Linked DNA regions of Arabidopsis thaliana. The protein of the gene in region 3 purifies or fractionates together with the protein of the main gene of each other region. This does not show direct contact. Each region holds a gene or a part of one and is shown on either strand. Other genes may lie near its edges. The genes, in order: AT1G42440, ACC1, E2F3 and ABCE2.

Region 1 (6,950 bases), on a different chromosome or scaffold from region 3:
TATAAAAAAAAAATGTGGAAAATGCTTGACACTGTTAACTCACCGTCAATTCATGTTGACGTGGATTGTTACGTGGCCAGAGACTCCAAAACGACGTCATTCGGAGTGAAATGAGATGCCAAATTTTCCGCATAAACCATCCGATGCAAAACAAGCCTAAAAACAATCACCAAGTACCTTAAACCCAACAAAGAACCTAAAATCTAAAACAAGCCTAAAAACAATCAGCAATCTATTTATGCGGAAACGACGTCGTTTATGCGGAAAATTTGGCATCTCATTTCACTCCAAACGACGTCGTTTTGGAGTCTTTGGGCACGTCACAATCCATGTCAACATGAATTGACGGTGGGTTAACAATGTTAAGCATTTTCCACGTTTTTTATATATTTTAGTTTGTATATTTCAGGTTTGCAATTTGAATTTTATGAAAGTGAGAGTTTGTTTTAGTACATTTAATAGATACTTGTACGATACTTTTTTAGTTGACCAAAAAAAATAAAAATTAGATACTTGTATGAATTCAACACAGCTTATATGTCGGGCTATGAAAAAGACGATATTCCCATATATGAGGCAGATTAATCAAATATAGGTAGCTTATTGTGAGCAAGCAAGCAATGTCTTTAATAAGAACAAGCTCAATCTATTTAAGTATTTTTCTCATAACAATTAAGCTTATCAATGGTTCAACCCCATATTCCAAATGTATATGTATAGTGAGCAATAAAGAAGAAAATTTGCATATTTTTATCACATACAGGACAAAACTGGAGGACTTCCACTAAACCACCACCATAAATTACCAAAGAAGAATGTCGTCAATTCAGAGAAACTTGAACATCATCATCTTCATTTAAAAAATTCGAATCAGAGAAGCTGTGGGTACAGACGTTCAGGCCACTTGGGATAAGCGCGCTTGTACAAGTTCATGCACACTACGTCATGTTGTTGAACCACTCCATTGAATATGCATTTCATTGCCCCTGCACAGCTCACATGTATAAGGAAAATTCCAGAAACAAAACTCTAGCTTGGCAATCTCTTCTATTAATACTAATGCCTTACCATGTGTGCCTACTGGTTCCTTCACGCGACCACGACGCCCGCATTTTGACCATACTTCAACAGGCTGCACACACAAACATTGTGCCAGCTTTAGCTTAACATAAAAATTAATACGTATATTATTCAATCCATCGATTCTATTTTTCTCTTTTACCTTGAACCATTTCACGTCTTCGGGGTTGTGGAACATATATCTGACTGAAGCTTTCATTTTCGATACTCTCTGAGGGTACCTGAACCAAACCACATTTCAAACAGCTTAGAATTACTACAGATTATGTTTTTTATCTCCCCAGTTCAAATGTCAGAGCATTAGTATCTATCCAAACTGGAATATGTGATTGTATTTGGAATGAGGTCATTACCCAGTTAATATTATCTTCTTTAAGATTATTTTGTTGGGTTCTACGCTTTTCAAGGAACCAAGGGCAGCAATGGCAGGAGGATCCGACCCTTCAGAAATCTTCAGAACTACCAAAGGAAGGGGTGGGAAAGATATGGGGCCGTATATTGAAGCCAACGAGAAACACCCTGGATGCAGGAATCTCTCCATCTTGTGCTTGTCTGAGCTGAAATTGTCGGTCGCAAATACCGGCCTGGAAATTCCCACGACAAAAATTACAAAAGATCGCAAACAAGAAAACCTACTAAAGTAGATAAAGCAGAAAAAATTTGCTACCTTGCAATGAATTGACGGAAACCAACATGGAACATTAGCTCTTCTTTTGTTTTAATAGGAGCTTCGTAACCATCATACTTCTTTACGCTGCAAAACATAGACAAAGGTGATGAGAAGAGGGCAGAGCACTCAAGGTCTCAACAAACAGATATCTTAAGAGTGATTACCTAAAATGCAGAACCGACATCTTGGATTCATGCTGCAGAAGCCCAAATCCTATAATTGGTTTCGTTGTGTTCACAAGAGAAGATAGTTTAGAGGCAGCACCAAGAGGCACTTCTTTAATATGCAGCCGTACATATGACCCAATTGGTACACAATCATCTCTGTCTTCTTCTTCCATCTTCAGGGCTTGCTTGAGCACAAGCTTTTGAGTCCTTGCGACATTATCAAAAGCAAAAATTCTAGCATAGTCCTGAGGTAAAGACTCCTGCATTTGCCAATAAATTATAAAAAATTAGCAACACTTAACTGTGAAAAATATAATGAAATTCACATCAAGATCAGTGTTATTACATTTGGATCCCACGAGGAGGTTCTGAAGGATTTAAGACCCCTGTACTTTGCAAAACGTCTTCTTGCAGGAACATCAATGGGAGTCTCTACTTCATCTGGAAATTCTGACAAAACATAAAAGAAAATTTTAATGAGTAAAAACAGAAAAGACAAAATCAATTAGCACATGAGAGATACAGAAACTCTACAAGGACTCAAATGAATATTTGCATTTATACACACAGACACACAATGACTCATACAGAACATAACTCCACACAGAGGAAATAAACACCAACCTTCGTCATCAGCATATGCCTCTTTGATTTTCTTGATTTCATCCTTAATTTGTTCTTCTGTCAAGTCTTCATCGTCCTGAACAATGAGCAAGTTGGCTTATAACATTACCAAGATAGTCGACGAGAACAAAAAATGCAATGAAGCTACAAGTACTGTTTTGTAAGTCATAAAAGTAGGTGGACAGAAATGTATACCACCATTTCGGATTCATTCTGAGTTTCAGTATCAATATCCCGCAGGTTCAATGATTTTCCGTCATCCTCAAATTCTTGGTCATACATTCCTTCTTGATTGGAATCCTCTCCTCTATCCAATACCATACCATTATCATCAGAATCACCATTATCGGAATCCTCTTCATCTGTTTCATCCACAATCCAAGCAGCCTGTAAAACAAATCATAAAACCCAAAATAAGAGGGCCACCCGCTTATAACATTTATTTTTGAGGAAAATTGCACAAGACAGAAGAATAGTTAAAATGAGGCTAGAAACATCAGGTTAAAAATAATCCAGGAACCTGATATTCTGAAGTCCCTCGCGGCAAAGTCTTCTTCTTTAGCCTGCCCTGCTTCTGATTTTTGTCAGCCTCAGCCATTTCTTCCTCTGTTGGCCATGTCTACACAAAGGAAGAATTGCACAAGTGACTTCCCAGAACAGATAACAACACGAGCCAACTGCCACCTTCATTTTTTAGAGAACTAATCAGACTTACCTGTTCCCCTGCTAAAGGATCTGGAGTGTTTTCAATTACTAAAGGCTCTTGTTTCATGGGATCAGGAACCAGAGACTTCAATACCTGGTCAAATCAAACACAGGTACAAAAAATAAAGTGAATTTACAAAGAGAAGAAAGCTGTGAAAATAGCATTATGAAAGCAAAATAACATCCTATTTTAAGAATGAAATTAAGTGTAAAATGATATTATGACAGCATTCCAACAAACTATATAACCTCTTTTCCTATAACTATATCTGAAGGATTCAACTTAATGTATCTTTTCTAAAGTAATAGTTTGTTGATTTGTAAAGAAAATATTATATATAATATACCTCTTCATCATGTGAATCATCTAATTCCATGGAATTCTGATTTTTCCTTTCATTCAAAGGAAATGGATCCTTCAGCACTTCAATTTTGGAGAATTGAAAATCCCCAACGCCAGAAACATGGACCTAATTTGAGAAAATAAATTAACAAGGGATCCATGGGTATAGCACAAGGCATGATATAGATAGCAGAATGGCTTGATTACCAGTTGATTTACAGACAGTTTGCGAGCACGCAAGTAACCAGAGAGAAGTAGAGTGCACTTTCCTGAGCTTTCATCATCCACCAGCATCCCAGCCTAAATGCACCATTCAACATTACAGAGATATTCTACTTTCTATAAAACCCTTTTCTTCTCAGAGTCAGATTAAATGTAATGAACTTATATAAGCATAAATCACACACCTTGCGAGCCACAATGTATGATCGTTGACTTCGCCAGTGAGGCACAGTAAGCCTTTGCGCCTTGAATAACCACATAAACTGCAAACAAGCCCAGAAATGTTCTACTAATTAAGAACATTAAAACTATTGAAAACCACTCAGTAAAATAATATAAAAAATTATCAGTCATAAACATTTACCTTATGCAACTCATCTCTGGTATCTGCTGGATAAAACTTACAATCCTCAGGAAATTCAGAAGCAAGTTGAGAGGCACACATCTTTTTCATCTCATTTTTCTTTTTCACATCACTGGGCAAATCCTGCAATCATACAAAACGAACTTGTTAAGCTCAACTTCAAGCAAAATTTCAAGAAATCAGAAACCTGGTCGCTACTAATATAGAGCAGAAAGAACTTACACGGATCAACACAGTAGTGCTTGGTAGACCAATTGATCTAAACACAGAAAGACACTGACTTCCGAAAGAATCTATGAAGTTAGAGCTATTCTCTTCCCACGGAGCACTTGCAGATGCAACAAAAGCCATCAAATCAGCAACCTAATACCAGTACCAAAAAAAATCAGTAAACACCTATAACAAACTCTGCTCACTGAAAGAACCAACAAACGAATACAAGACAATTCACATACCTTGGCCATTTCCATACATGTCAGAAGATCCCCATGAGGCGCCTTTAACACCTGTAATATATATAGTCACAACATTGATCACACAAATATTCATATATCTATATAAACAAATCTTAGGAATACACATACAGTTGCTCGTAGCTTATACTCAGAAGATGCAACTGTCGAAGAAGCAATTCCAGAACCATCAGAAGATAACAACTTCAAAACATCTTCACCAAGTGAATTCAATTCCACAGAAGCAGAGAGAGGAAACAAAACCTATCATCATTAGAAAATATCATAAGTGGAACATTGCAACAAACAAACACACAAACATGTAAAAACTCACGATAACACGAGGAGCACTGTTAATTCCTCCTGATGCTCTCTTCTCCTTCAAAACTGCTGCTCTCTTCTGCTCTCTAAGCATCTTACCACGTTGAACACGAGCAGCTTTAGCTCCTTTAACATAGTTACTATCCGATTTCCCAATCCGGCCACTATCTGATTCCATTCAAACGCGATTTTCAGTATGTGGAGATTGAAAGAGATGAATTGTTGAGGATTTAGGGGGTTTACCTTGAAGGTTGGTTCTATGGAGATTACGAGAAGATTTAGAGGAGAAACGAGTCTTGTGAGCTTTGTTAACTTGAACTCGAGAGCGTCCCATGGCTTCAGCAAGAGATGGTGGCTGGATTTGGTGACTGCTTTAAAGTATAAACCCTAATTTCAATTTTGCAGTTTTATTTCCTCAAGGGTTTTGTGTAGTTTGTCTTCAGACTACTTGTTTTTGTTCGACGGCTCAAAGACAAAAGTGGAAGAAGACGAAGAATTACAAAATATGTGGGCCTAACTTCACAAATAAAAATGAAGTTTATGGGCCCATTAGCCCAATATGAATGAGTATTTGTGACTTAAAATGATATTTTGCTACACATGCTTGGGGCCTAAAACTTTACCAATAAAATGCAGTTTATGGGCCTATCAGCCCAATATAAATTACTATTTGTGCTTAAAATGATATCATTTGCATGCTTAAAGCATCATTATTGGTAAGTTCTTAGATTAGTTCTTGGGATTTTTTTTTGTCTTTTATATAAATGTCATTTTGTCTCTTATATAAGAGTTAAAATGAGATGTTCTTATCATAAGAACTAATTTAAGAACTTACCAATAAGGATGTTCTTAGGGCCTTAATTATTAATATTCCTTTTTTCGGCAATATAACGTTTTGTCTTTTTTCAACTTTTACCTAATTTTAAAGAGTTTTTTTTTGTTTTTTTTTGTTTTTTTTTGGTTTTTTTAAGGTTTTTTAATTTAACCTTAAAAGTCATTTTCGTATACAAAGACAAAGAAAAACAGAAATTTTAGTGGAAAAACAAATGATATGATGAATGAAAAATTTGAAAGTTTACAAAGTTTTTTTTTGTTTTTTGTTTTTTTGAGGTTTTTGTTTTAACTTTAAAAGTCATTTTCTATACCAAAAAATAAAAACAAAATTTTAATAGAAAATAAATGATTTGAATGAATGAAAATTTTGAAAAATTACAAAAATTAGGACTAAAATTAGGTTGGAAAGGTAAAAAAGGAAAAAAATTTATAAATTCATATTATTATATCAAATTTGGCTCACAATCGTGACACGTGTTATCAATCAATTGATATGTGTCACATACAAAAACAACAACAACGGGATTGAATGTGATGTCAAAAGCGCAGAATTAAGTTTTAGGGCTAACTCTAAAACGAATCTCTTTTAATGAGTCCCCCCATCGCATATATTAGAGCTAGCTTTTCTCTTTTTATATTTTGTAAGTTAAATTCCCAACAATTGACATGTACCCGTACACTAAACTGTCTGTCCATCACATTAACTTTCACGAATTTATTATTGTAAAGATGGGAATTGACATGTAGCATTTTTTCTCCTTCTTAATTATGAGAAATCGGAACCAGATGCTCTTTTAGTTGTTTAGTTTTGGTAAAACGGTGGCGTGGTGTTGGAATGATAAAGATCAGATGAGTATGAGTGATCATGATTACTTTGAGTGGGTCGTGAAAAGCTTGATGATTTATTAATATATATAGATATTTGTGTGTTATTTGTTTTACAAAAAGAGGTTTATACTGTTGTTTTAGCATATGTTAGTACAAGTTTTTAAAGCCAATACCTTTTTCTTAATTTATAATGTGTGCCATTCTAAAAGGAGTCACATATAATATTTGAGACTGAAGAAAAAAAAGTTCTAGATCCAAAAACAATAAACTGATATATGTATATTCATCTTTCTATAAAACATTGTGCAATCACTACAAAAAAGGGTCATTTTATATCATT
Region 2 (4,832 bases), on a different chromosome or scaffold from region 3:
GAAATTAAAGAGAAACAGACAGTACATTATTCGTGTGCATGGATAAAGAAGAGGAACCGCTGCCTGTAAGAAATAAGGACGTAGATTATACCAGGGATTTGCCAGAGAGGAATTCCCATCCCCACAGCAACTTGGGCAGCAGGAAGATTTATCTCGGCAATCCACTCAGTGACAGGATGCTCAACCTGACCTCAAACATCAAGTTAAACAAGTCATTCAATTTTCAAGTCCGGACCTTCAATATATTTCAACGCAAAAAGCTGCAGTATGAAACCAACCTGTAAGCGAGGGTTAAGCTCTAAGAAGTAGTACTCCCCAGTGTCCATACTGTAGAGATACTCAACAGTAGCAGCTCCAACATAGTTAACACTCTTAGCCAACCTTCTAGCTGCTTGTTCAAGTTTCTTGACAGTTTCTGGCGGAGCCACAGTAATTGGACCCTCCTCTATGATCTACGATACAAACGATAAAGTAAGAGCTCATGCAATAATTTGCAATCGCTAAAAGGGACTATAACTCAGTTGGAGAACAAAAATTGATGTATATAACTATATAAGAATAAATGGACAGAATGTTTTTCTATATAACCACTAACCAGACAATTAAAAATCCAGAATCAACCACTAACAAACCTTTTGATGTCTTCTCTGGACGCTACAATCACGGCTATGCAGAGCTGAAACATTTCCATGCTTGTCACAGAGCAGCTGGACCTCTAGATGCCGACTCTATACAAAAAAAAAATTAGAAAAAATGAAATGTAAAGAAAAGCAATGCATTACTACTTTAAATTCTCTAGTAAAGTAACCAGATAAGAACTCAGCTAAGCTTCGATCAAGAGATATAGTTAAGCAGCCATACCTGTGACGCAACCTTCATTATGAATATTGGTGAGCCTGGGACCTCACCCTGAACTTGCTTGAATAGAGCCCTAACCTCATCATCATTATGAACCTATAAATTTAAAACCAGAATAAGTACTTATATAGTAATCGGCTTAGTCCACAATCAAAAGGCATATCTACAGAAGCTGACCTTCCTGATTCCTTTACCACCACCACCCCACGATGCTTTGATCATTGCTGGGTAACCGACAACTTGACAGCTAGCAATCGCTTCTTCAGTTGTGTAGACACATGCTTGCCGGTAGATCTCCTCTGGGATGGTTACCAAGTTGCTATTAGGAGGTATTTTAACCTGAAAACATAGGAATTCAGTATATAAAAATGAAAATATATACCTCTGGTACACAAGCTAAGCTTAACAAGAGTAAATTTACTTACATGGGAACCACTCCATGGCAGAGTGGGTACATCAGCAGCTTGTGCAATCAACGAAGAACCAATCTTATCTCCCAGTGCTGCCATTGAAGATGCTGGAGGACCAAGAAATATGATTCCTTTTGCATCTAGGGCATCAGGTAATTCGGGGTTTTCAGATGCATGACCCCAACCAGGCCAAACTGCATCCACGCGTGTTACTTCAGCCATCTGCACACAGGTTGTAGACAAAGATGTTCAGATGAATGAAAAATAACTCCAAAGACCAAAACTTCATTGCTGAAATTGAGCTTAATACATGTGTTCTGTACAGTAAAACACGATAATTCAGATAATAGTAGTTCCCAAAAGTTGGATTCACCTCCACAATCAGCTGAACGTTAGCATAATTGTTATTGTTGGTTCCTCCGGGAACCTCAACAAACTGATCAGCGATTCTGATATGCTCCGCATTGATCCGCATGTCTTCAGGGGTTGCCATCCCCACCAACAATATGGCTTTTTCCGTACCAAATGTTTCATAAGCCCATGTTCTGACACTACGTATAAACTTCACAGCCGCCATTCCATTGTTAGCTATCAAAATACTATGGATCGGCCTTTTCCCTCTAAGTGCTTTACAGAACTCATCCACTTGAGACACCGTCTCATAATTTATACCAGGTCCTACAGCACTATGATTCCCGTTAACCGAGCCAGCCATTGTCACTGCCCTTTAAGCTTCAGATATATCTACAAAACAGCCATAAACACATACTGAATCACTTTACAAAGAAACTGATGCTATCTACCAAAATGACTTGAAAGAACATAACAGGAATATTAAAACAATTCCTAATCTGGTTGCTTAATCTAACAAACAAAGATGCTTCAGATTACAAGGTGGAATTAACAAAGATGACAGCAATGCTTTTGCGTAATCACATGAAGAAAAAAAGAGTATAGAAAAAGCAAAACGCAATCATAAGCAAAGATCTTGCAAGTAAGAAAGCATCATTACCCAATAATAATGAGTTCCTTTAGAAATCTGAGAGATCTCAGAACTAATGATTATAAACTCCCCAAACCCACTAAAATTCTACAATATTGAAGTCGAAAACTCAACAAAACCCAACTTCAACAACAAGTTAAAATCACAAAAACAAGTGCAAAATTCTCATTGCTAAACCATAAAAATCAAAACTTTAAAACACCCAAATAACAAAAACTCAACAAAACCCAACTCCAACAACAAGTAAAAAATCACAAAAACAAGTCCAAATTCCGATTGCTAAACCATAAAAATCAAAACTTTAAAACACCCAAATAACAAAATCAGCAAAAGCAGAAAACTTTAAACCTTGTAAGGAAGCAGAGATACAAATTGGCTTAAAGAGGCATCAGAGAAGGCCAGAATTGTGGGTGTTTAGCTAAAGAATAACAGAGAGGAGGACATGGAAGAGAATGAGGGAGAGAGAAAGGGTTTTAAGAGAGGGAAGAGAGAAGAGGGTAGGTTGGAGTTAGAAGAGGAGAAGGAAAGTGGGGTCAGAAGAGTTAATAATGGGAGATGATGAAGAGAGGAAGAAGATGAAGGAGAAGAAGAGAAGAGAGAGCACGTGGTCTCTGCCTCCGCCACACTCCACACCTCCATTGTTTTTTTTCGATCCCTTTTTGTTAGGAGGCGCCGTACTTGTTCCTCAGCTACCTCATTTCATCCCCCCACTCTTGTTTTTTCCGCTATATTATTTCCCAATGCTTCTCATTGTAGTATTATACAAAGTTTTATTTCAAGTTTTATTTCCAGTTTTAGAACCAAGTTTTTTTATTTACCAAAACAAAAAAAAAATTGAATACTGTAGAAATTTTATATGGAATTTGTGATTTTTTATAGACATCAAAACAATTTTTATTTCAGAGAGAAGATCTAGAGAATATGACAAGATTTAATCGATAAAACTTCGGTTTTTCGGTCATTTTCGAAGATTTCAATAATTTTTGCCAGTTTATTTTGCAGAAAAAAATATTTTTTATGTTGGCATATATAGTTTACAGAGATATATTATGTTATCAATTGTTTTTTGAATTTAGTTGCTAAATTTAGATGGATAATCTTCTAACCCGAACAAATCTATTGCATAGTATTATTATACAAAGTTTTATTTCAAGTTTTGGAAAAAAAAAAATTTTAACCAAACCAAAAATATATGATTACAGGAAATTTTATATGGAATTTGTGATTTTTTATAGACATCAGAATAATTTTTAATTTCAGAGAAAATCTAGAGAATATGATTAGATTTAATCGATAAAACTTAGGTTTTTCGGTTATCTCCGGAGATTTCAATATTTTTTGCCAGTTTAGTTTTTGGCATATATAATTTACCAATAGTTTCTTGAATTTAATTGCCAAATTTAAGTGGATAATCTTCAAACCCAAACAAATCTTTTGCATAGTTTTTCTAGGTTATATTTAAATTAATATATACCATTCTTAATGCTTTATATAAGATACATTTAACTTGTTGGAAACTTTTTTCTCAATATATTCGCAGGCCAAATCAAGAAATATTATTCCTTTACCATCTTTAGATTTATGTTCTCTTTAGCTAACTTCAATTTATGGTTATATACTTATGTTTTGTTCTTGTGTATATTTAAGACTATTAGAAAGTATCAAGAAAATGCTGATTTGAGTTTATTTCATAATTTTCTTATTTAAAAGTTTACTACATTTAGTTTACTACATAACTATCTCTTTTACATTTGTATCCGAACAAAGCAAATGATAGCAAAACATAGATTTGTGCCGAATAAAAGAAGAATGGTATAAATTTGTTAAGCAATGAAAGATATCTATTTTAAAATAGTATTAGGTAAGCCATGAAGAAGACAATAAATTTCTACCGTCTGTGTTAAATGAACTTCAAATACGTCACAAGAGGCCATAGCAAATGGATCGCATTGTATGAGATTTATTATTTCGTTTATTTGGTCGGTCTGTTTCCGTTTTAAAGAAAATATTTATTATTGTCTTAGGAATGTGTAATATAATAGATTAAAGCCAAGAGGAATTGTATTTGTGTACGTTGAGTCGTTGACACAAGGTTGGGTGGTTTAGGTTACCAACATTTTATTTTCCTCTTGCTTGTAAATTATGTGTTTCAAATGTTTTAATGTTTTGTTTCTCATTTAGTAGAACGTATATTGGACCAAGATCTAGATTAGTGTTGCACCCAAGTTCAAGTTAGTCATGTAAAATCAATTCATAGATTTTTACCAATTCTTCATCTATCTACCTCATACGCATGAGGTGGTCATCTCACAATAATATGCATGGCCATGTTAAGCTAAGGATAATAAAAACTTTTACCACATTCTAGACTATATCGTATATGTTAGTGTCTCAGATATGCTTTTACTTTATTTATCACGACTATAATTCATAAAAGCATATTGTATTGCAAACCATTCATATTTATAAAATCATTTATATGTTTCACCAAAAATCATTAATATACAGAAATCATCATTCATCACAACTCTTTGTCGATGGTTTTATATAAGAGGTATAAT
Region 3 (5,800 bases):
GCAGTCACCGGTGGAGATGGACAATGATCCTCCATCACCGCGCGCTCCAAGACCGCTGAACAAATCACTATCTGCGTTGCGATCGCTAGAGAAGCAAACAAGCAGAGGGAGGAAGTGGCCGCCACCAACACCACCACCAACACCAGGCCGAGACTCCGCCGGAACATTTAACGGTGATGATGGAGTCAACATTCCTGATACAATTCCGGGATCACCCCTCACTGATGCTCGAGCTAAGCTGCGACGTTCTAACTCCAGAACTCAGCCAGCGGCATAGTAACGCAAACGTACATATACGTGACTCGACAAAGAAACCCTTTTCGTTTGTTTAAAGATATATAGGGAAAGAAAAGTGAATGAAAGTTTTGAATTGAAACAAAACAGATTTTTTTTTTTTTTTCATGTTTTCTGTAAATTGAAGCAGTAAGTATTAATACAGCGAGAATATTTGTGTTTGTTTTCGTTTAAACTTCCCGCTTTAATCCGGATATTGATTTGAGTTTGGATTTCTTCATATAGCTGATTATAAAGATGCATTTGAGTGGTCAAAAATATTATAATCAAATAGTGTACCAATGCAGCCGATGAAGTACATTCTCTGTTAAACTTACATTAGTTTCTCGGTGCTCCTCTACAACATCACTCTAGGCGATAAATGAATCATAATCTAATGGTACATTGTATGGAACGCACCTGCCATTGGTTCATACACGTTCTGTAGTTGCTCCCTCCTTGTATATGATTTTAGGGAGTGTTGTGAGGTAACACATTTGGGATCAGAAGTTGAGAAGTGTGCTTGGTATTCGATCATCTCGGGGTTGAGTCAACAGCTGTTGGTGCTATTTCGCCCATTCCTGGTGGTGGAGTACTCACGTCGGCTATTCCATAATCCCAATCGATACCAGCTTTTGCTAGAGTTAAGGATTGCGTATTTATATCTTATGCAGATAGATATAGTTAACTATAAGAGAGAAACAAATTGCATATATGCAAAGGATACAGTCAGTTTTCCAAATATCCGTCATGCTAATCTCAGCATTTGAGAGAAGCCAGTAGTCCGACTCATCATTCTGCAAAATACAAGACCAATATCAAACAACAATTATGAGGGTAGATTTTGAGTCAGGTTAATTAGTTTCTCTGCACAACTTCCTATTTCTATGTTCATTATAAAAATAAGCAGGAAGATGGCTTACTTCAACATCAGAGGGAGTAATCTTAAGCATTCCTCCTACTTGCTCTTGCAAATAATTAAGATCAGAGGTATCGCCGGGTTGAGGATGAGGATGATCATGAGACACAATAGCAGTTTCTGGGTTGTCAACAGTTAAGGCTTCGATGTCATGGTGTCCTGTAGATCCTGAGCTAGAAGCAATAGGCAAGCATGCTGGTGGTGCTGCACCACTCCCATTTGTGTCTTCGAATTTCCCTTCAAATTCGCTGAACATGAAGACAAAGTAAAAGCATGTAAACGGGACAATGAATGTTCCAAATCATAGAAATCTTTGTTTTGATACGTTCAATTATATGTATACCATCATCAGTAGAGTATATGAAGTCACGGAAAATGCCAATAACAATGTTTCTATTATTTGAAGCCAACGCATAAATACCTGACGAGGTATACGTCAATAGGTCCCATTGTACTTCTAAGAATGATCCTGTATCTCCTTTGTGGGTGGTCAGCCGCCTGTCAAGTAAAGAAGAAACATTATAATAACGTTTTGGAATCTAACAAAGAATGGCAGATGTCATCCAAGGTCGCTGAAAAAGACTAACTTCATCTGGATCAGGCACTTCCAAAGTTGTGCCATGAGGAGCTTTGACGGCTATCAGAGTCTGGTTCTGCAGAAACAGCAAAGAGAGAGTTAAGATATAAGTGAACAAGAAAGTCTTGGGATCGACATACATACAATCAATTGATCAAATTCCTAGGATTAAACATATGAAATAGGAAAGACAGACCTGGAAACCTGGTAAACTCTTGATATCCTCTTCAGTTACAAAAAGCCATCTGGACAATGTGAACGGATTGGTTAAGTGTCCATCATATAAATAGCACCATCTCATAGCCAGAACAAACTAGCCATACGAAAAGATAGATAGACAGAGATTTATACTTCTGATTCTTTTCATTTTCGCTCAGGTCTCTTAATCTTTCCTCTGTTTGTCTGAATAAAAGTTGTTAAAGCGTCAGCATTGGTTAAATAGATTAATCACAATAACCCAAAACTCTTTAAATGAATGCTTACCTGATTTGGTTGTCTAATGCTTGCTCTTCGAGGGCGAGGTTTTCAATTTCTGCCTGCAGCTACAAAACAAGAACATTAATCAAAGGAAGCGAGAACTACATGATATTTTAAGATTTACATGCACAATGACTTTTGAGTGTATGCTGTTTCACTACACCTGTAATACAGATACGTCAGCATCCTCATCGCCAGGACACGCATCAACTCCCCTAATCAAGTTTATTGATCATCAAGTGAGTTTACATGTAGTTAAATGCTTTCAGTAATATCCCAATGAAGCAGGATATGCTTTCAGTACAAAATACATAAGCATACTATATCATAAAAATCCTCACTTCCAAAGTATTCGATTCTTGAAAGGCTTTTCAATGAGATCTATCCCCTCCAAAACGTTTGTAATATCATATATACGTCGTTTCTGCACCTCCAATGTTTCTGCAGCTTTGTTTAGGTCCAGCATTCCATCTTTGGCTTGTTTAATTAGATTGACGAACTTTTTTGTAAGGAGACCTGAACAGCTTTTATGTCAGCATCTTCATATACACTATAACATGTATCGAATATTAAATATATATGTGAAAAGTTGTTAATTACCTAAAGAACTGTCATAACGACAACTTCCTGATGGAGTAAGTGTGATAGGAGAACCTGCAAGTTGACCAGGAAAGTAATCAGCTCTTCGACTTACTTGTTACTCTAGACATGAAAGATATTTCATAAAAGGATCTAACTATATAGAAAGGCCAAAAGGGGTAGAGAGTCAAGAATACAATTCTTCTTACCAGCGTTTGTCGAGATGGGTGTTTGAGGAGTTGACTTGTTTCCTTTGGCCTTTGACTTGATGTTGACTCTGCCCCCTTTTCTAGGAGTTTGACAGGGACTGCTAGGTATGTTAGTGAAACCAGAACTCGTGAATCCATTATTAGATGGAGCAACAACCATATCCATTGTCGCCTTTCTCTTTCGTGACTGCATATAAACAAGTTGTTATTAGCTTAAAGAAGTTGGTCAAAGAAATATCATCCAAAAGGTTTTAAAGCATCCACACACAAATTATCTATATCATTCCTCATAAACTTTCACAACATTGGGATCTACTTGAAACATTATACATTAACAAACAATGTCAAGCTTCATACACCAATACTTTGATATCAATAAGCTAATGCTCAACACTATGTGAACATTCAACACCTCACGCAACAATCAGAGCCAATTTGGCATGGCAATTGGAGAAATTGATGTCTGATTTGCGTCAATTGGGTGTAATTGAAACGCAGTGTTATGAGCAAAATGTACCATCGCGAAGCTAAACAAACGACAAAAATTGACACGAATCGACGATAATCTAACGCTGCGAAGCTTTTGAATCAGACTTAGAAGCAACAAGTAGCAATCGAAATCCCCAAAACATCCTCGAATTTCTAAACCAATCTCACTGGGGAAAATCTCTAAATCGAAGAATCAAAAGCACCCAAAACTCACAGGAGATCTAACAACGACAGCATCTTCCTCCCGATCTACAACACCACAACCATGAACGAAGCTCCTGTCGTTATTATTACTGAGCGAAGAAGGGTTAAATCGATGGTAATCATCGGAAGGATGAAACGGAGGTTTTGTTGAGGCGAAAGCTAAGTGACGACGTATAGGTGGTATAACCGGCGTAGATGTAACCGGAACCGGAGATGACGGTGGATGGTGCGGCGGCGGCGGTGGCGGCTGAGAAGAACCGGGAGAAGATCGTACGACACCGGACATGGATCGTAGTGAAGCGAGAGTCGAATTTGAAGATTCCGATGACGGGAAAAGCGACGGCGAGTGAAGGAAACAAGGGTTTTAGTGAGAGAAAGAGGAAGAAGAAAAGAAAAGGAGAGAGCAGAAAACGAGGGAAGGAGGGAATTTTATGTTGGGATAGATGTGGAGGGAAGCCTATAGCAATAATAAATAAAATGTTAAGGAAATAAATATATACTTTTTTTTCTTTCTATTTGTGCCCCGGGATTTTGTATTTAGTTTTAGATTGACCCTACTTACTTTAGGGAAATTACTTTTTGTGCCTTTTAGTAACGGGAATATTGAGATTCTTTTCTGTTCTTTATAATGGTGAAGAAGAGGAGATCATGCATATATATTTTTGATCTAGAACTTGTTTTTTGAATCTGAAATTTTTATTTAAATGTGTGTAGTCGGTAAACAGATTTCTGCAAATAGATTGGGATAGAGTTTGTTTATAGTACATGTGCTGCTGTTTCCGTTATGATATGTGTAATAATATTTTTATTTTTATTTTTTATCCTTTTGTATTGATTAGTGGTTGTTGTATCATGTATGGCAGTGGAAAAACTGATGCGAAGTGTAGATTAAGTCTAAAGTCACTTGATGAAGGATTCATAATTCAATTCAGTATTTGGAGGACTATAATATTGCACATGATTGATGTCATTAATTAGTATTAACGACAAATGAGTGATAGAAAATAGTTAGAAAGGGTAAATAGAAATTGGTAAAGACCTAGATTGGCAAAGTTTTCGTACCGCTTTTTTCTTGTCCTGCGCCGTTAGCTTATTACAGGTCACAAGAAAAATGGTTCACTTAGAGAGTGTGAGGCATTGTTGTATTGTAGTACCTTAAGTTCATTCATGTTCATTACGAGTGTACCCCATTTGAGCCGAGAGAATGTAAAGTCGTTATCAAGTTGAAGCCCAATAAAAACGGATTTAAGGCCCAAAAAAAGAAGGAGAACGGAAACAGAGAATCCGATCATAGACCACTGGCATTTCACGAACCATCAAAGGGACTAAAAGCTCTAGAACCAATTCTCCCTGTTAAGACTTAAGACCAATAACTAAACCGTTACGCTAATCAGTTCACACATTCATCATCTTGCCTCCAATTGTAGAATCACAATTCTCTGCAAATCGCAACTCTACACGGTTTCTGGACTTACATACACTTGATTTCTCGTTCACTAACAATAACTAGACCGAAATACATCGGAATCGTGAATTGTAAATGAACATTCTTTCTCTTATCAAGATTTAACTCACCATCCCTGTGTGTGTCTCAAAATGTAGGCAGAGGCTGGTTTCTTCATTCATTGAGTTCTTCATCATCATTCATTACAAAAATGTACCTAAAAACAAAGCAAACCCCATCAATTCTCACCAATTCTCCAACTCCATTAAACAAAAAAACAACAACAAAAAGCAAGAAACTCTCACTCACTTGCTTCCATGTTCTCCTAGCACACAAAACTCTATAAATCAAGAATCTTTTTGTACAGTAACAAGGCGAGAGGTCTTCAATGGCGGAGAAGAATCACAACATACCTCCAATGTATCTCTAAAACCAGCTTCATTAGTCTTCAACATCACCGGCAATGGAAACCTCACACCTTTCGCAGCACAAGCTTCATGTCTCGGTTTAATCCGATTCTCCAAACTAAACGAGAAATACTGAGGAAACTCAAGAACCTCTCTAACATCTCTCCCCATCTCCACCATCAAATACTTCAACTTCGGCTCATAATTCTCAGCAATACTGTA
Region 4 (6,337 bases), on a different chromosome or scaffold from region 3:
TGGAGGCTACCCACCTGCCGGATATCCTCCTGGTGCTTACCCTGCTGCGCCCGGTGGTTATCCTCCTGCACCTGGAGGTTACCCTCCTGCTGGCTATCCTGCACCTGGAGCTCACCATTCAGGTATGCATTGTCTCGTTAAAGAGCTCTTCTTTGTAGTTTTGGTAAATGTTGATGTTTTCTATGCAAAAGCTATGGAGTGTCCTTGTAGCTTGCTTGGATTATCAACCTGCTAAATATTGTTAATCATTGAATGTTAATAGGAAAAGACTTTATAAATGTTTCGGTTTTCTATGAAAAAAGCTAAAGATTGTGCGTGAAGTTTGCTGGATCATTAACCTTCGAACTTTGAATGATAATAGAACAATAGTTTGTAAATCTTACTGTTTTCTTTGTAAATAAAGCTTAGAACTGGCCTTGTTGTTTGCTGGATTATCAGCCTGCTAAGTATTGTCAAGTTTGAATGATAGTATGACAATTGTTTCTGAAATGTTGTTTTTTTTTCTGTGATAAAAAGATGAGGACATATAAACTTACTGTCTTCTGTTTTGGTGTATACATTGATGTTTTAATTTTAAATCTACTAGGAGTACATGTTTAATCGTGTGTGCTTATCAATATGCAACTTTGTGGTCTCTTATATGCATTCTGCTACTTTGTGGTTCTCCATGTAATACTATTTTCTTTTTTCCATCAGGACATTCTGGTGGTGGACTCGGAGGCATGATAGCAGGTGCAGCTGGTGCAGCCGCAGCAGCTTATGGAGCTCACCATGTTGGTCACGCCTCTCACAACCCTTACGGGCATGCTGTAGGACATGGAGGGTATGGCCATGCCCCTGCTCATGGCTTTGGCCATGGTGGTCATGGTAAATTCAAGCACGGAAAGCATGGAGGCAAATTCAAGCACGGAAAGCATGGAAAGCACGGGAAACATGGCATGTTTGGAGGAGGAGGCAAATTCAAGAAGTGGAAGTAATCTCAAAAACCCCACCTTTGATCCTCTCCTCCAGTATAGTCTCATTACCTGACCGATGTTTCTAATAATCCCCCTTCAAACATATTTCATTTTAACTATGTCGGTTTAGAGATTACTGGTTGAGGAAATAATTGGAGAGTGCTAGTATAAACCTTATGGTATCTGCAGCAGAGGTTTCTTTAATCTCTCAATAGTAGATGCTTTGAAACTTATCTATAATTTGGTATTGTAATGACAGTTTGTGTTTGGTTTTTTCTTCAGTATCTTCTTTGTTTGATCATTTGATGTTGGTGGAGTTCTCCAAAATATTTATGCTATTGTAGATCCTAACCTTTCTATCTTGTTATTCTTCGTTTTTTGGCCATTATTTTCGTTTCGCTCCCGATCCAAATTCCAAAGTACTTCAACAATATCTTATGCAATAACGAGACAAACACTTAAGGTCGTGCAAGAATAGTGTCTGTTTTTCACTGATTCACTTTTACAGAGAACAAACTGAATTAATTTTGATTATTGAATAGTTGACATGCAATAATATTTGTTAATCCAAATGAATAGATAAAAAAAAAAATTCCTTGAGAGTAAAGAAACTAAATTTTGGAAGACAATTTTTAACTAGTTTTCTCTAAAACTAGGAAAGTCAGAAAATGAGAAAACAAATTTGATTTTATTACGGAAGTGAAGGGCTTTCCGACAAATTGCTTTGCTCAGACCAAACTGTAACCGACCCAAGCCCAATAAAAAAGCGAATCGGGTCAAACGAAAACAGATAATTCAGAAAACCCTAAATTCGTTTCTCTTTTTTTTTCTTCATTCTGAGCAAAGCAGTAACTCTCAGGTGCGTGTGCTCTCCGCTGGTTCCTTAGAACAATCGGCACACGCTTTTTCATTTCAATCTTCTTCTTCTACTCTTAAGTATCTCAGGTACTAATCTCGATTTCTCTATTTCTCGTCCATGGAGATTTAGATTTCAAGTCAGATGCTTTTCGATTTGTTACAGATGTATAATTTTTGTAATCGATTGATTCGCAGCTTGGATTGTATTGAGCCATCGACATACCTTCAAAATTCTTATAATTGTATTGAAAGTGTTTGAATTTAATGTTTTTTTTTTTCTTTCTCTCGATTGTTTTGATTTCTGGGCAAGTGTCAACTTTTGTAACAGATTAGTGACCTTTCTCTTTATAGATATGTGGAAGAATTTGGAATTTACAAATTCGGTTCACCATTTTTATCTGAAGCACTGAATTTGCGTTTTTCAAGCTTGAGTGAATATTATTTCTTGGCTCTTAAGATTTTGCATGTCAACTATTATTTCATCATTGTTAGCATCTTGTGGTGTTCAAGTTATTATTTTAAATATTGTTTGTGCTACTCTATAGTTATTCCCTATGTTGTTATTTCGTTCCTTTGCCTTAGCGTGACATCTTTATTTGGTATATTTGTATCTGTGTGATTTAGTTTCTTCAGGCTGTTAAACTATAGATTTCATGTATTTTGTAGGTCTGTTGAGAGATGGCAGATCGATTGACACGTATTGCTATTGTGAGTTCAGACCGTTGCAAGCCAAAGAAATGTCGCCAAGAGTGCAAGAAGAGTTGTCCTGTGGTCAAGACAGGTGTATATTTTTATTCCAAATTTGGATCTGTGGTCTTTCATGTGGATTTATTATTATTGTACTGTAATTGATTAGCTTTGTTATGTGCGTCATGCCAATTAGTAGACAGAGAATGGTTAGGTGTTTATGTGAAGCCATTAGCTTATAGTTCCTACTTGAAGTTGTTGTAACTCTACAAATTTTTAGTGCCACTTGTTCATTAACTTGCCTTTTATCTTAGGAAAACTTTGTATTGAGGTGACTGTTGGTTCCAAGCTTGCTTTTATCTCAGAGGAGTTGTGTATCGGTTGCGGTATTTGTGTGAAGGTATGTATGCATAGGCTCTTTCCGATATCCAAGATGCCTCTAGAAATGGCACCTAAACTGGGATGCTAAATGACTCTGTTGTTACACAATTGCAGAAATGCCCGTTTGAAGCTATTCAGATTATCAATCTTCCAAGAGACTTGGAGAAAGATACGACCCATCGTTATGGGGCAAACACTTTTAAGTTACACAGGTTCGTTTATCTACTATTTTTCCTGAAACAAATTGACCGCTCTTGTAGTTTTCAGACAATGAAATCTTTGTCTTTACTTCCAGGCTCCCAGTTCCAAGACCAGGGCAGGTGCTAGGGTTGGTTGGAACCAATGGTATTGGAAAATCAACTGCTCTGAAAATTTTGGCTGGAAAGCTCAAACCAAATTTGGGCCGTTTCACTGTAATAGCCTCTCTTGAGTTTCTAAACTTTTATCTTCGAAATTTGGTCTCTTTCATAGTTGATGTGTTCATATATTCCTTGTTGAACAGAGTCCTCCAGACTGGCAAGAAATCTTGACTCACTTCCGTGGTTCAGAACTTCAAAACTACTTCACACGTATTCTAGAAGATAATCTTAAGGTACAGTTGAAACTGATATTAATATTTTTCTCCATGAGGTAGCTAGGTATTATTTGATGTTTAAGCAGCTCAATTGAGCAAGTTCTGATACCCTGTGCATGGCAGGCCATTATAAAGCCTCAATATGTCGACCACATCCCAAGAGCAGTTAAAGGCAATGTTGGAGAGGTCCTTGACCAGAAGGATGAGAGAGATAAGAAGGCAGAGCTCTGTGCTGATCTGGAGCTGAACCAGGTCATTGACCGTGATGTTGAGAATTTATCTGGTGGTGAGCTGCAGAGGTTTGCAATCGCTGTTGTTGCCATACAAAATGCAGAGATTTACATGTTTGATGAACCATCTAGTTACCTCGATGTTAAGCAAAGACTCAAAGCTGCTCAAGTTGTTCGTTCTCTCCTGAGGCCTAATAGGTTTGAATTTCCCAGCTTCTGAAGTTTTTTTTTCAAAAGGGATAAAAAATAAGGTACTTACATTGTTTTTTTTTTGTTTTTTTTTTGTTTCCCAGCTACGTCATTGTTGTGGAGCATGATCTCAGTGTTCTTGATTACTTGTCGGATTTCATTTGCTGTCTGTATGGGAAACCAGGAGCCTATGGTGTGGTGACTCTCCCCTTCTCTGTCAGAGAAGGAATCAACATTTTCTTGGCTGGATTTGTTCCTACAGAAAATTTACGTTTTAGAGATGAATCTTTGACCTTCAAGGTATAGATATTTTGTATGATGAAAGGCAAAGTTTTGTCGCCAAGGCAATAAATTGTTTTCCTCAATGTTTTTCTTTTGTTTGAAGGTTGCTGAGACTCCACAAGAAAGTGCTGAAGAGATACAGTCGTACGCTAGGTACAAATACCCCACGATGACCAAAACTCAAGGAAACTTCAGGTTGAGAGTGTCGGAAGGTGAATTCACTGACTCTCAGATTATTGTAATGCTTGGGGAGAATGGTACAGGGAAGACAACATTTATTCGGATGCTGGTATTCTCTTCTTCCATGATATGTTCTCTTGTGGTTAGAGTTTTAGAAAGTACTGTACTGTAAAGTTGTAATATTGGTAATATTTGCAGGCCGGGTTGTTGAAACCAGACGACACAGAAGGACCAGACAGAGAGATACCAGAATTCAATGTTTCGTATAAGCCACAAAAGATCAGCCCAAAGTTTCAGAATTCAGTTAGGCACCTGCTACATCAAAAGATTCGAGATTCTTACATGCATCCACAATTTATGTCGGATGTGATGAAACCACTTCAGATTGAGCAGTTGATGGATCAAGAAGTTGTCAATCTCTCAGGAGGAGAATTGCAAAGGGTTGCATTAACTCTGTGCCTCGGAAAGGTAATTATTTTGTTTCAGACGTCTATATGACGTAGTTGCTTTCTTTCTCTCAGTGATCTCATGCATCCACAATGTGAATTCTTACAGCCTGCGGATATATACCTGATCGATGAGCCAAGTGCATATCTCGATTCTGAGCAACGTATTGTTGCTTCTAAAGTCATAAAGCGATTTATTCTCCACGCAAAGAAAACTGCATTTGTAGTCGAGCATGACTTTATAATGGCGACCTATTTGGCAGACCGGGTCATTGTGTATGAAGGACAACCATCCATTGATTGTACTGCAAATTGTCCTCAATCACTGCTCAGTGGAATGAATCTCTTCTTATCTGTAAGTCTCCTATTATATCTCTTAGTTACACCGTATGGGCAAGAGAAGAGGGCATAAAGGTTTGGTGCTAATGATTCCTATTTTATGTTTTTCGTTACCATGCAGCATCTGAACATCACATTCAGACGGGATCCCACCAATTTCAGACCAAGAATCAACAAATTGGAGTCGACCAAAGACAGGGAACAGAAGTCTGCAGGCTCATACTACTACTTGGATGATTAGGACAACTACCAAGAGGTTCTTGATCACTAAAATCCAATCATGTTTTCTCAATCATACAACGTTTTATGGAATCAACATCTAAAATGTTTGTTTTCTCTTAATGTCCTTCAATGGATTCACAGAATATAGGGCATTGTTCGAATTCCAGAAGGGTCTTTTGCTCAGAGGAAGTTGATCTATGAGCTCGGAATATTTTACGCAGCCATCTGTTTTCCGAGTGCATAAGCACAGATGTTTCTTTCTGGTCAAGCTTTTAATTGTTGTTTCATCAGTTTTACTTCTACATTTTCTCTCTCACAGCTTTTATTAACTGAGCAATAAAAGTTTAAGAATCTGTAACCTTTTTTTCTTTTTGGCTTTGTACTTCCTGAGTTGATGATTTCAACATTTACTGTGATGTTACTACTTTGGATTTTACAATCTATTGCCTATTTTTACATTATTTTCTTTCTTCTTACACAGCGTCTAACTCACTGATATAGGAAAACTTCAAGAAACAGTATCTAAACACCTAACGTCAATAACACTGTAACCAGGAAGCTTTTTCAAGGCATTATCCTCCACCATCTTCCGTAGTCTTACAGCTTCTTCCCAACCTCCCAATCCAACATAAGTATTTGCCAACGAGATGTAATAAGATGCATTGTCTGGTTCCATTTCAAACAAAACTTCTGCAACTTCTTTTCCCAACTTTGTATCCCCATGATAGTTGCAAGCGCTCAACAACGCTCCCCATACACCTGCTTTTTGTGGCTCACCAATCCCTGTGATGAACTCATAAGCTTCTCTCAGTTTCCCTGCCCGGCCAAGCATGTCAACAATCCAAACCCGATGCTCAGTAACTGGTTTAACCCCAAATTTTTCCTCCATTTGCTTGTAATAACTTAGACCTTCATCAATAAACCCAGAGTGGCTGCAAGCTGACAACAGGCTTATGAAACTGCTCTTGTTTGGTTCCATCTCTGAGTTACTAC

Evidence for each region.
Region 1: the proteins of E2F3 (region 3) and AT1G42440 purify together in Arabidopsis thaliana (affinity purification with mass spectrometry, with the first as the bait; one large-scale study listed by BioGRID). This does not show direct contact.
Region 2: the proteins of E2F3 (region 3) and ACC1 purify together in Arabidopsis thaliana (affinity purification with mass spectrometry, with the first as the bait; one large-scale study listed by BioGRID). This does not show direct contact.
Region 4: the proteins of E2F3 (region 3) and ABCE2 purify together in Arabidopsis thaliana (affinity purification with mass spectrometry, with the first as the bait; one large-scale study listed by BioGRID). This does not show direct contact.

What each region holds. Positions count from the first base shown.
Region 1 is NC_003070.9:15,894,658-15,901,607, forward strand, and holds AT1G42440 (pre-rRNA-processing TSR1-like protein), read right to left. Parts: upstream 5,449-6,950; 5' UTR 5,283-5,448; coding exon 5,192-5,282; intron 5,117-5,191; coding exon 4,962-5,116; intron 4,892-4,961; coding exon 4,760-4,891; intron 4,682-4,759; coding exon 4,631-4,681; intron 4,539-4,630; coding exon 4,398-4,538; intron 4,299-4,397; coding exon 4,176-4,298; intron 4,075-4,175; coding exon 3,997-4,074; intron 3,890-3,996; coding exon 3,797-3,889; intron 3,717-3,796; coding exon 3,594-3,716; intron 3,341-3,593; coding exon 3,257-3,340; intron 3,161-3,256; coding exon 3,062-3,160; intron 2,929-3,061; coding exon 2,737-2,928; intron 2,618-2,736; coding exon 2,542-2,617; intron 2,368-2,541; coding exon 2,264-2,367; intron 2,178-2,263; coding exon 1,915-2,177; intron 1,835-1,914; coding exon 1,748-1,834; intron 1,665-1,747; coding exon 1,434-1,664; intron 1,302-1,433; coding exon 1,223-1,301; intron 1,133-1,222; coding exon 1,069-1,132; intron 987-1,068; and 3 more.
Region 2 is NC_003070.9:13,531,347-13,536,178, reverse strand, and holds the start of ACC1 (acetyl-CoA carboxylase 1), read right to left. Parts: upstream 3,012-4,832; 5' UTR 2,620-3,011; exon of another isoform or gene 2,281-2,619; intron 2,013-2,280; 5' UTR 1,984-2,012; coding exon 1,642-1,983; intron 1,491-1,641; coding exon 1,284-1,490; intron 1,198-1,283; coding exon 1,036-1,197; intron 955-1,035; coding exon 862-954; intron 729-861; coding exon 633-728; intron 453-632; coding exon 279-452; intron 186-278; coding exon 92-185; intron 1-91. UniProt on the Arabidopsis thaliana protein: Multifunctional enzyme that catalyzes the carboxylation of acetyl-CoA, forming malonyl-CoA, which is used in the plastid for fatty acid synthesis and in the cytosol in various biosynthetic pathways including fatty acid elongation.
Region 3 is NC_003071.7:15,117,901-15,123,700, reverse strand, and holds E2F3 (E2F transcription factor 3), read right to left. Parts: upstream 4,113-5,800; 5' UTR 4,014-4,112; coding exon 3,738-4,013; intron 3,702-3,737; coding exon 3,552-3,701; intron 3,222-3,551; coding exon 3,035-3,221; intron 2,983-3,034; coding exon 2,941-2,982; intron 2,901-2,940; coding exon of another isoform or gene 2,847-2,900; intron 2,763-2,846; coding exon 2,588-2,762; intron 2,462-2,587; coding exon 2,410-2,461; intron 2,312-2,409; coding exon 2,253-2,311; intron 2,172-2,252; coding exon of another isoform or gene 2,121-2,171; intron 2,015-2,120; coding exon 1,966-2,014; intron 1,846-1,965; coding exon 1,780-1,845; intron 1,691-1,779; coding exon 1,614-1,690; intron 1,441-1,613; coding exon 1,197-1,440; intron 1,071-1,196; coding exon 1,001-1,070; intron 906-1,000; coding exon 808-905; 3' UTR 517-807; downstream 1-516. Other genes in the region: HVA22J (HVA22-like protein J), read left to right, coding at 1-277; EMB3114 (Mitochondrial transcription termination factor family protein), read right to left, coding at 5,519-5,800. UniProt on the Arabidopsis thaliana protein: Transcription activator that binds DNA cooperatively with DP proteins through the E2 recognition site, 5'-TTTC[CG]CGC-3' found in the promoter region of a number of genes whose products are involved in cell cycle regulation or in DNA replication.
Region 4 is NC_003075.7:10,499,414-10,505,750, forward strand, and holds ABCE2 (RNAse l inhibitor protein 2), read left to right. Parts: upstream 1-1,709; 5' UTR 1,710-1,901; intron 1,902-2,480; 5' UTR 2,481-2,492; coding exon 2,493-2,595; intron 2,596-2,815; coding exon 2,816-2,901; intron 2,902-2,996; coding exon 2,997-3,094; intron 3,095-3,177; coding exon 3,178-3,295; intron 3,296-3,384; coding exon 3,385-3,474; intron 3,475-3,579; coding exon 3,580-3,884; intron 3,885-3,979; coding exon 3,980-4,175; intron 4,176-4,260; coding exon 4,261-4,446; intron 4,447-4,535; coding exon 4,536-4,805; intron 4,806-4,892; coding exon 4,893-5,138; intron 5,139-5,243; coding exon 5,244-5,363; 3' UTR 5,364-5,378; intron 5,379-5,485; 3' UTR 5,486-5,804; downstream 5,805-6,337. Other genes in the region: AT4G19200 (proline-rich family protein), read left to right, coding at 1-122, 697-977; AT4G19220 (Tetratricopeptide repeat (TPR)-like superfamily protein), read right to left, coding at 5,853-6,337.